2 linked regions of the Neodiprion lecontei genome follow. The protein of the gene in region 1 binds, or shares a complex with, the protein of each later gene. Links are inferred from orthologs where the notes say so. Each region holds a gene or a part of one and is shown on either strand. Other genes may lie near its edges.

The links.
Region 2: the proteins of uncharacterized protein LOC107223905 (region 1) and dual specificity mitogen-activated protein kinase kinase dSOR1 are in contact, whole or in part, in a cryo-EM structure (PDB 8BW9), measured with the Drosophila melanogaster proteins. The link is inferred for Neodiprion lecontei from reciprocal best matches to the Drosophila melanogaster genes cnk and Dsor1. Residues at the interface, in NP_001286524.1 of Drosophila melanogaster: Arg46, Tyr48, Arg72, Tyr76, Thr92, Lys95, Asn96, Arg99, Arg103, His117, Arg121; in NP_511098.1 of Drosophila melanogaster: Arg200, Gln255, His258, Gln262, Tyr319, Val321, Asn322, Glu323, Pro324, Lys347, Gln348, Asp350, Glu351, Arg352, Ala353, Asp354, Lys356.

The regions. Positions count from the first base shown.
Region 1 is NC_060260.1:24,524,628-24,529,473, forward strand, and holds the start of uncharacterized protein LOC107223905, read right to left. Parts: upstream 3,014-4,846; 5' UTR 2,908-3,013; coding exon 2,850-2,907; intron 2,307-2,849; coding exon 1,717-2,306; intron 460-1,716; coding exon 349-459; intron 1-348.
Region 2 is NC_060263.1:21,129,134-21,133,871, forward strand, and holds the start of dual specificity mitogen-activated protein kinase kinase dSOR1, read right to left. Parts: upstream 3,033-4,738; 5' UTR 2,501-3,032; coding exon 2,376-2,500; intron 623-2,375; coding exon 397-622; intron 311-396; coding exon 198-310; intron 122-197; coding exon 10-121; intron 1-9. Other genes in the region: 60S ribosomal protein L17, read left to right, coding at 3,498-3,578, 4,042-4,201. UniProt on the Drosophila melanogaster protein: Required downstream of Raf in the sevenless (sev), torso (tor), and Drosophila EGF receptor homolog (DER) signal transduction pathways.

The DNA.
Region 1 (4,846 bases):
AAAACTCAATATCTTGTGTCATTTGAAAATTATGTTTCACATGTATCATATTCATGGTGAATGCAAGCTTGCAAAACCAGTTGTTTAAAATTAGGCCTACTTGATCAGTATCTCATTCTTCCTAATATTACTCCTCACATACCTATACAATTTCTCCCACTAATGATGTCTAACTATTATTTTCCAACATATATCAATGTTAAAGGAATAGAGATTTTGTTTAGAAATTCTTCTTTTTTTTTAGGTAGCCTCAATCATATGAGGAAAATTGTTTATTGGAAAATTATGCCATGTCGGTATTCAAATTTAAATTAATCATGCAATAAATTCAACTGATCGGTTATTTACCTGGACAATTTCATCACCTTCTTCCATTTTACCGCATTGATGTGCTGCAGATCCGAATTTAATTTCAGCTATTTGATGAGCACCATGGAACGATGGCAATATGTAGAAGCCCTGAACATAAAACATTTTTGAATTATTTCAACTAACAATATTTATCATGGAACATTAATCATGAAATTATTCATCTGATTGTGAGTAAAAAATTTACAACTGTATTGCGTTTTAATCTTGATATATATATACAGGGTGTCCTATTGCTGAAAATATGCTCAAATATATCAAAAACTAAGCATTAAATTGAACAATGTGTCGGACAAAAATTGTTGTATATGAAGGGGGACATCAGATGAGCATCCCAGTTTTTGGATCTGGGGCCTTTGCTGGGCCCATTGGGGCCCAACTTTCGTTTTTCAAATGGAACCTGCTATTTTTTATTTTACTTTCGTATTTCTCATTAAAAAGTAAGTTTTACTCCTAGTAATTTTTTAGTTATCGTCTTCAAATAAGCGTAAAACTTTATTAGAAGTTTTCTCGTGAGAAAAGTGGTAATACATCAATCACTGTCAAGAATTTAAAAATGAGAACAAATTCTACAATGAATAGAATTGTTCAATGTTGAAAAGTGGTTAGGCGCTTGTTTATGTTTGTTTTTAAGCATTGCCAAGCATTTAAGAACTGTGGGAATTAGCGTCACTTGATGTATACCCTAGGGAGGTTGTTTGGTCAGATTTTTAAAAACTTTTTTTTCACTTTTGACCGAAACATCTTTCAATTTAATGATTAAATTTCGATATATTGGTGCGTATTTAAAAAAATGAGACACCCTGTATTAGCGTAGACATGAAAATTAGTCATCACTACGTACACTATTAAAAGATTGATTTTATATGAGATAATTTAATCGGACAAAAGAATTCTGTATAAATCCTTGTAATTGCATTTAAATAGTATTTCATACTGCTGAAATAGGTTCCATAATTGAATTGTAAGTAGAATACAGAACTCCATGGTCGTATTAAATTCAGATTGTACACAAGAAGTATTATCTGCAGAGGAAATGACAATCTTACCGACATTCATGCTTTATCTCAAACGGATGTGGTTGCTAAGCATTCATTGATGTTTATTGATAATATTGAAAAGTCTCATAAGAATCTTTTACTCAATTAACAATAACTTTATCTCGATCAAATTAAATCTTATTATTACTGTTTTATATAAATATTGCACAACTTTTAAATATATATTGCATAGTATCATACGATGTATATGAGAAATTGAATAAGTTAATTATGAAGCTGATTTCATTGTCAAAAGAAAGATATCAGAAAAAATGCTATAGAAAAACGATTACTTTTCATTACTTACCAAATCATCACCTGGCCTTTTCTTTAACGTTGCTAAATCCAGACTCGCTGGCTGTAATATCATCGGATCGGCCATGTCTTGTATAATGTAATCAGCCAATTTAGCTAGTTGTCCACAAGTAGTTCTTATCTCTTCAATCGGTCTTTCAGCGAATCTGTCACGTTGAGCGCAGGTCGCCATTTCTATGGAAAGCTTCAACAACTCGGCCTTTTTATCATTGTATTCTAGTTGGCCGCTAAACGGAGATCGATCAAGCCAACAGACCAAAGGCTTCAGAGATGTTACAACCGATGCTACGTCGGATAAAGTTTGAGTGGTGACGGGTTTAGAATCGGTTTGTCGAGATAATTCATTATGCAGACTGTGGGCCTGACAAGACAGTCGTAATGCCAGAAGCTGCAAATTTTCATGGTCAAGTTCATAGTGAAAGTTTCTCAAATACTCAACAGCTTCGAGAATTATTTCTTGATGGCCAAGCTTCAGTACCCCAAGGTGTTCTAAGTCTTCCGGTCTGAGATTCAGTAGTTGTTGACCATTCACAACATGGTTCATAAAACTGTGAACGTACGGTAACACCGAATTGTCTAAGCCTGTCGAGAGAATTGCAAGAACGTATTAGCAAATGATGAATGTTAAAAATTATTGTCAAAAAAATATAAAGGACTTTGGCAAAAGTGAATCTGATTTATGGGTAAAAATGTATGAGAACTTTACAGAAAGATATTTTATACAATCACCCTGAACGATGCACCCTGACTAAGAATGCATAATAATTATCAGATCTGGAATGAATGCATCATTGAAGTTTCAAGTAACAAAGGAGAGAATTATTTTTAGAACAACAAAAACAAACGAAAGACGTTCATTCAGTCACGCACATATCGAATTTATCAATGGATTACGCAATTAGTCATACTGAATGAACGAAATTAGCCTTCACAAACGAAGTTTGTATTTGTATAACATACATGTATGGACGTAATAAACTACGAGGGCCGGGGGGCGTATACAGGAAATGGAGTTTTCGCGTCGTATAATACGAAAAACCGTCACTGAATTAATACGTACGATTCTAAGCACTTACAATGTGGCATAACAAATATTACGAAGTAATAATCAAGCCTTCCACGTACCTTTCAACCACTCACACACCTGATCTGTCTTCCATTCTGCGACATTGACGTACGCCATGGTTGGCTATTCATCTCTGACTAAAGATCGTCCAACACGAAACTCTCCCTCATGCTCTCCCTCCTCGCTGTGATCCCAATTCGCCTGGAGTTAAGGAGCCCGAACGCTGTACTATGGATGTGGACCCTGAAAGCGACGCAAAAGATATATAGGCTGTGGTGGCGCTGCTGTCGTCAGTATAGGATATAAGTATTATTATTACAGCAATGACCGGGCGTCGATAACGAATACTCCACACCTCATAGCATCACCAATGCCATACTTCATATCCTATACTCAAGGTCATTAGCCTATACTGACAAAACAAGCGCGCTCGTGGCTGAATTTCGAACTACAACCAACATATATCTTTTTCGACGATTTCAGCGTCCAAATTTATCATGATTCTCGTGTGCCGTTCGACCTCCTTAACTCTAGGCTCCATGTCCATGAGTGTGAAATGTATATCAGTGGTGTAAACACGGTCTTATAGACAGGTCTGGGAACTCCGGCTGTAAAACCGTGCTCGAAAATGAAGCCGATGTTGTGAAATTTCGCCGCTAGCGCTAGTGAGGGAGAGGCCTACTTAGGCCGTGTTCGTAAATTGACTGACAGTACTGAAAATTCCCTAGGACAGAGTCAGAGCTATTCACGAACTTGAAAGCGCAAAAGAGATGAAAGATTGCTGACAGTACTGTCAGTCAATTTTCGAACACGGCCTAAGTAGGCCTCTCCCTCCCTCCTTTAGTACGCATACACCGGTTTCGGAGATTGCAGCGCTCCGGTCTTTGGTGCACAAATTGAGAAACACAGGCTACAAGACGGTCACGCTGCGTTATATGTATAGGAAGAGGCTTGGAGTGCCCAGACCAGTGGCCCAGACTTGTCTATAAGACCGTGGTGTGAAGACTGGTAACCTCTCTCCATCAACGTTGCAGGCAACGCACAGAGAGAAGCCTGAGAGAGCCCACGCTAGCGTTTTTCGTGTTCCCGATTTCGTAGCGCACTCTGACACGAAATAGATTTCTGGAACTAATTTTCGAGGTGCATTGTCGGTAAGCGCATGTTGTTAACAGACCAACACTGCCGTCTTTAGCATCACGGAGGCAAGTTGATGTTCGTAATTTGTTCAATTTTTACTGCTGCTGCTGATCGCCGTAAAAGTGTTTTGTATCATTCACTGCTTTCGTAATGCCAAATACGGCAGAGTATTAAACGTTACCAACATGCCTTTACCATGCACCTCGAAAATTAGTTCCAGAAGCCTGGCTTGTCAGAGAGCGCTACGAGATTCGCAACACTCTCAAGCTTTTCTCGGTAATGCAGCACGTTAGTTTTTCCAACTCCCGTCGTGAACGCTTCACTTAGTAGAACTCCACAGCTGGCGTATGCATAAATTTCTCGTTTCCTTACATACGTGATTGAGTATTGCTAAAGCAGCTAGCCGTGTGCATTCCTTTGAATAATGCAAAAGGGCATGAGGTGCGCGGGGGTATTGGCAGCGCTCTACATTGACCGATTCACTTATGGCATTCCAATGTCAATTGGGTCGGTAACAGTAGGAAATATTCTTACCGAAGCTTACTCCCACCCAATCCCTCACCAAACTTCAGAAAGTTCAATTTAGCTGGCTTTCCATAGCAATTTTCAGAAAATGTTACATAGCTTTCCTACAAGCTTTTATTCCGCCAATGCGTAGCCATAGGTACCCTACATTTACTAACTCGCTTATGGGGTTTACAATGTCAGTTGAGTCGATAGTGGTCGGAAATTTCTGTACTGAAGCTTCTCTCGTTTTCTCACGCCGATTTGTACAGAGTTTCAGAATGCTGCCTTTGACAATCTTCAATCAACGTTTCACTATAGAGAGCCGGCCTATGGGAGTAGCGTGACAGAAAAATTTCTTTATATTTCATCCAGCAGGCATTGTTACAGATCAAGCAACTTATCAGGTGTCGAT
Region 2 (4,738 bases), on another chromosome or scaffold:
ATTGCTTACCGCAGCTGTGATGGTACCCAATATCGATTCAGGTATTCTGCCAGCTTTTTTTAAAATCAGATCCAGCGATCCGCCGTCCATGTATTCCATGCATATGCTAATTTCGCCATCGCTAAAACAGCAATAACCATTGAAAAAAGCTGAAGTTTTACACAACAAGCAAATTGACGACATTAGCAAAATTATACCTGTAAAATGCTCCGTAGAAGCCTACGATGTGTGCGAAATTACACTCGTGGAGAACTTTGAGTTCCCTTATTATTTGTTTTTTGATGGCTGGTTTTACCTCCAGGTGGATCAGCTGAAATTACAACGAAAGAAATACAAGTTGATATATAAATATTCTGAATTATAGTTTACATTCAGCAGTGATAAATTCCAACATACCTTTCTAGCCATGATGAGACCGTACTTTTTGTGCCTGACTTTCATAACAACGCCACCATTTCCTGCACCCAGCTCTCCTAATTTTTCAAAATCCTCATCACATAATTCACCAACTTTTTCTTTTTGACCAAGAAAACTTTCCAATCTTTTGCGTTGTTCTTCATCCATTTCTAGTTCTTCTAATCGCTCTTGGAGAGCGTCGATACTCATTTTTCCCATCACACCACTGCATCATTTTATTAAATTAATAAATGTAAACACACCCACAGATTTCGTGGCAACTGTATTGAGGCTGCTAGTTACGCAGAAACAATTTGAAACAATTTAAACATCTATGTCGTTATTTCACAGGAATAAATCCACCGACATTTCAATACATGAACGTCTCCACAAAATTAATAGTGACAATAAAACGGAAGGTGGAAATATATCGATATTACGCAATTCTTGGAATGTGTATGTTGTGATATCAGTCAATAATAAATTTCATAGAGTACATTCCTTGACGAATTGGAAGTATATTTACAGTAATGGAAACAACAATTGATCAAATTTGCTGTAAATAATAAATGATACTTGCTTATTCGGGGTAAACAATATGTTTCGAAATTCAATATTTATCAATATGTACCAGTATTTTGGAGAAAATGTTGAATATTGTATCTGAAACTTCGGTTGATCAAGCTTATCTTGTAAACTCTATTAAATTCTTGAGGAGTAAATGAAACTTGGTGAGCTATCGGGAAGCACGACTTGATGAACTTAGGGCTAAATATCGCATCCATTTATCATTCAAATTCAGTATTAGTGACAACTATAGTTTTGACAGCTAAAGTAATGAACTGTACAATTATAAGTGGGTTACATAAGTGACAAACATAAGTGACTCCAATTTTCAGGTTCAAGTTTGCAAGTAAAGGCAACATAAGAAATATGAGTATAGAAGGTTCACCGGATTGCAGTGAAAAACTATACTTAAGGTTTGCTATGTGTATATGATTTTCCTTCATTTGCGATTTCCTGAATTGTAAATTGGTAAATTGATTGAATTACTTATGTTGGTATTTTGTTATTGTGAGGTTCGAACTTCAATCACATTTCAAATTGCAGTTTTATAAGTTATGATTGACAAAATAGATTAGATATCAATCAACACACTTTTAATTAGACATGATATGCAGACTAGTATCTCATACATTTGTATAACAGGTTTTAAAATTGAACCAGATTGTCTAAATTAACTAGTAATCAATGAAACTGTAAGCATATCTAGTAGTTGCATCTGTAAAGCATATTCAAAAAAATTTACTACAAAGTTCAGATTCAAAAATCAATTTAGGTTAACAATTTCCATAGAAAGAATATAGACTAGTTAAATAAAAATATCCAGAATTGGAATCTCAAGCTTTTCGAATTTGTTCACATAACTCATGCAGACTATTAAGGAAACAGAAAAATGTATTTTGCTTAGAAACAGTACTATTTCTTCTACTGATAACTATTCACACTGGAATGTAAAGTGGAAAACCATTTATTGTAAAAACTGAATTTTTCTCATGGAATAAACTTTTACTATCATCAGTATCAAAATCGCTCTTCATATTTGCACGGTAACAATGACTGTAAGACAATGTCAAGTTTCTTACTTTTCTTAATCCTCCGGGGATAACATTCACTGGCAGCGCAGTTATCATCTCACATGTGTGTTGCGGTTGTAGATAATAACAAAATACAGTAATTCGCAAAACTTCTAATGACAGTATAACGGAGACCGAACTTATTCCATCATTTACTATGTGACTAGCGTACAAATTGCATCCAAATAGAGACGCTGTGGCGCGACTAAGCACGGTATATAGGATAGTGAATTTAAAAAACATTGAAGTGTAAACAATGATGGTTGAACGATTAATTACAGCCTAATCAACTCTTCCAAAAGGTATTACATACGAGGTATTATTATAAAAGAGTAAACTTACTCTGGAATCGGTACTGCAGGTTCGGTGTAAACAGGCAACGGCGGAACCGGTGGCGAAGGTGAAACTGCTGCTACAGGTTCTATAGAACCTGGAGGTAGAGTCAGGTTCAATTTGTTCTTTGACATTTGTTACGGTGTGTTGAAAGCCTTTGAAAATCAAGAAGTCTTCTTTGAAAGGTAAGAATGAAAGTCAGGAACACTGCAGAGCGTTGAGTATCTCCCGTTAGTTGGTGGCACTTTATTATCTACTCGAAATCTCGATTTATTGGAGTATCAGTTAGTCGCGCATTATCATCAATATTCAATAGCTAAAAGCTCAAAGCCATCAAATAGCTGTGCACACATATGTGTATTCAACGTGATGACGAGGCTAAGCTGTCAAACGTCGAACTGTCAAATATGTTTCAACTCCCTTTCCGTGCGGTATAACCGGATTGGGACAACAAAAGTTCCGGAATTACGTGAATAAGGGTTCGGAGGTGAGCCGGAGAACTGTAAAAAAACTTTCGACGGGGTTATGATCGAGAAAACGTATGAAGGGAGTGAAAGAAGGTTATATCGGTTATACGGATCCTCTTGCAAGTTGCAGGGCACTGTTACACGGAAATCGGCTTGGGGTGAACATACGTACTTCCCGCGTCCCAAGTTCTCGACTTACTGGGAACCGTTTACGATATATGTACGCTGACGATTGCCGGGAGCCGAGTTTAGCACAAATGCCCCTAGGCTGAGCCGAGTATAGTAGTTGTGTAGAAATTGGTGGAAATTTGCTGTGAGATGGTAAAGCAGCGCCACCAACGGGAATCGTGTTGCGGACATGTGGCGAAGCTTCAACCATTGTGACGTCTTTTCCTGTAATATCGTTCCGCGAAGAGGTATGAGCCGAGCCTTGTTATTTTACGAATCTGTGTGCATCTGAAATATAATTCAAGTTATCGAGTATTGAACCTATCAATTACGTACGCTAAACTCTGATCTACAATTCAAGTGGCGAAGTTTTGTGATTTTGTGTTTCAAGTTACAATTATTGTCTGTAAAACATACGTGCCAGCTTCATGGCGCCGCCTGATGTTTTCCACATTTCGGAATAATTTAAACTGTATTCGTTTTATTTCAGGGCAAAATGGGACGGTATTCTCGTGAGCCTGATAATGCGACCAAATCGTGCAAAGCACGCGGTTCGAACCTTCGGGTGCACTTCAAGGTAAACAATTTCACGCTTCTTTCATTATTTGAGAATAACCTAGAAATTTACAATCTGCGGATGCTTCTGCTCGTGGTGTAAATTTTGCCAAGATTCTGACAATCGTATTTTTATTACAATTGAGCGTTCGATCGTATTGCACATTCCATGCATTAGGTAATTTTCAAGAGTTTGTGTGGTGTCTTATGGAAATCGTGTGCAATGTGTATTTTATACGTATTGAAATTTCAAATTTCCAACTTGCCAAGATCTGAAAGAATATAGTATTTCAAACTGCTATTATTTGTTTCTGAAAATGCGTGTAAGCTCGCCTGATGTATAAGTGAAATATTAGTAAAGTTGCATTTTCTTATGCTTTTTCTTTACCTTTCCTCGTATTTCTGGCACTTTACTTATAGACCTTTGAAAGAATATTATGTACTCGAAATATACTTCGTTAATAGAGTTGTTAAAATTCTTTCAGAACACTCATGAAACTGCTCGTGCTATCAAGGGTATGGCTCTGCGTCGTGCCCAGAGGTATCTGAAGAGTGTCATTGAACACAAAGAATGCGTACCATTCCGCAGATTCAACGGTGGTGTTGGAAGGTGTGCTCAGGCTAAACAGTTTGGCACCACTCAAGGTTTGTATGTTTGCAAACACGCATGTTTTTCAACTCCTTTTAATTTCGAAGTAGTGTGAAAATTTATTTTAACAAAACTCATTAGTTGGCAATAACAGCACTATCTGAAATTTAACGAACTGCAATGGAGTAACACATACATATGTATACTGCAAATTCAACTCCTTCAAACTCATTAAAAGCTGCAAAATGATGAACTTTAGTAAATGGTCTGTTACATTATTACTAATTTAAATCTCAATTTTTCTCACTGCCATTGTAATTCAATCATAGAAGCAAGGTATGTAATGTCGAAGAAGTTAGAAAGAAAAATGTATAGTTTGGGTTTTTTTTGTGAAGTTCCAGGAATTACGCACGATTTCTAGAATTCTAAGACTTTCTAATTGACGTAAGAAAATTATGTACTCTTATTGTGTCGGTATCAAGCACGCAAAGTTTATAATTCATTGAGCATTAATTTATTTAGGAACTACAGCATATTTATTCTTGAAAATTGATTGCATTATAAAACAAAGCAGCCTGTGTATATGCTGTGCA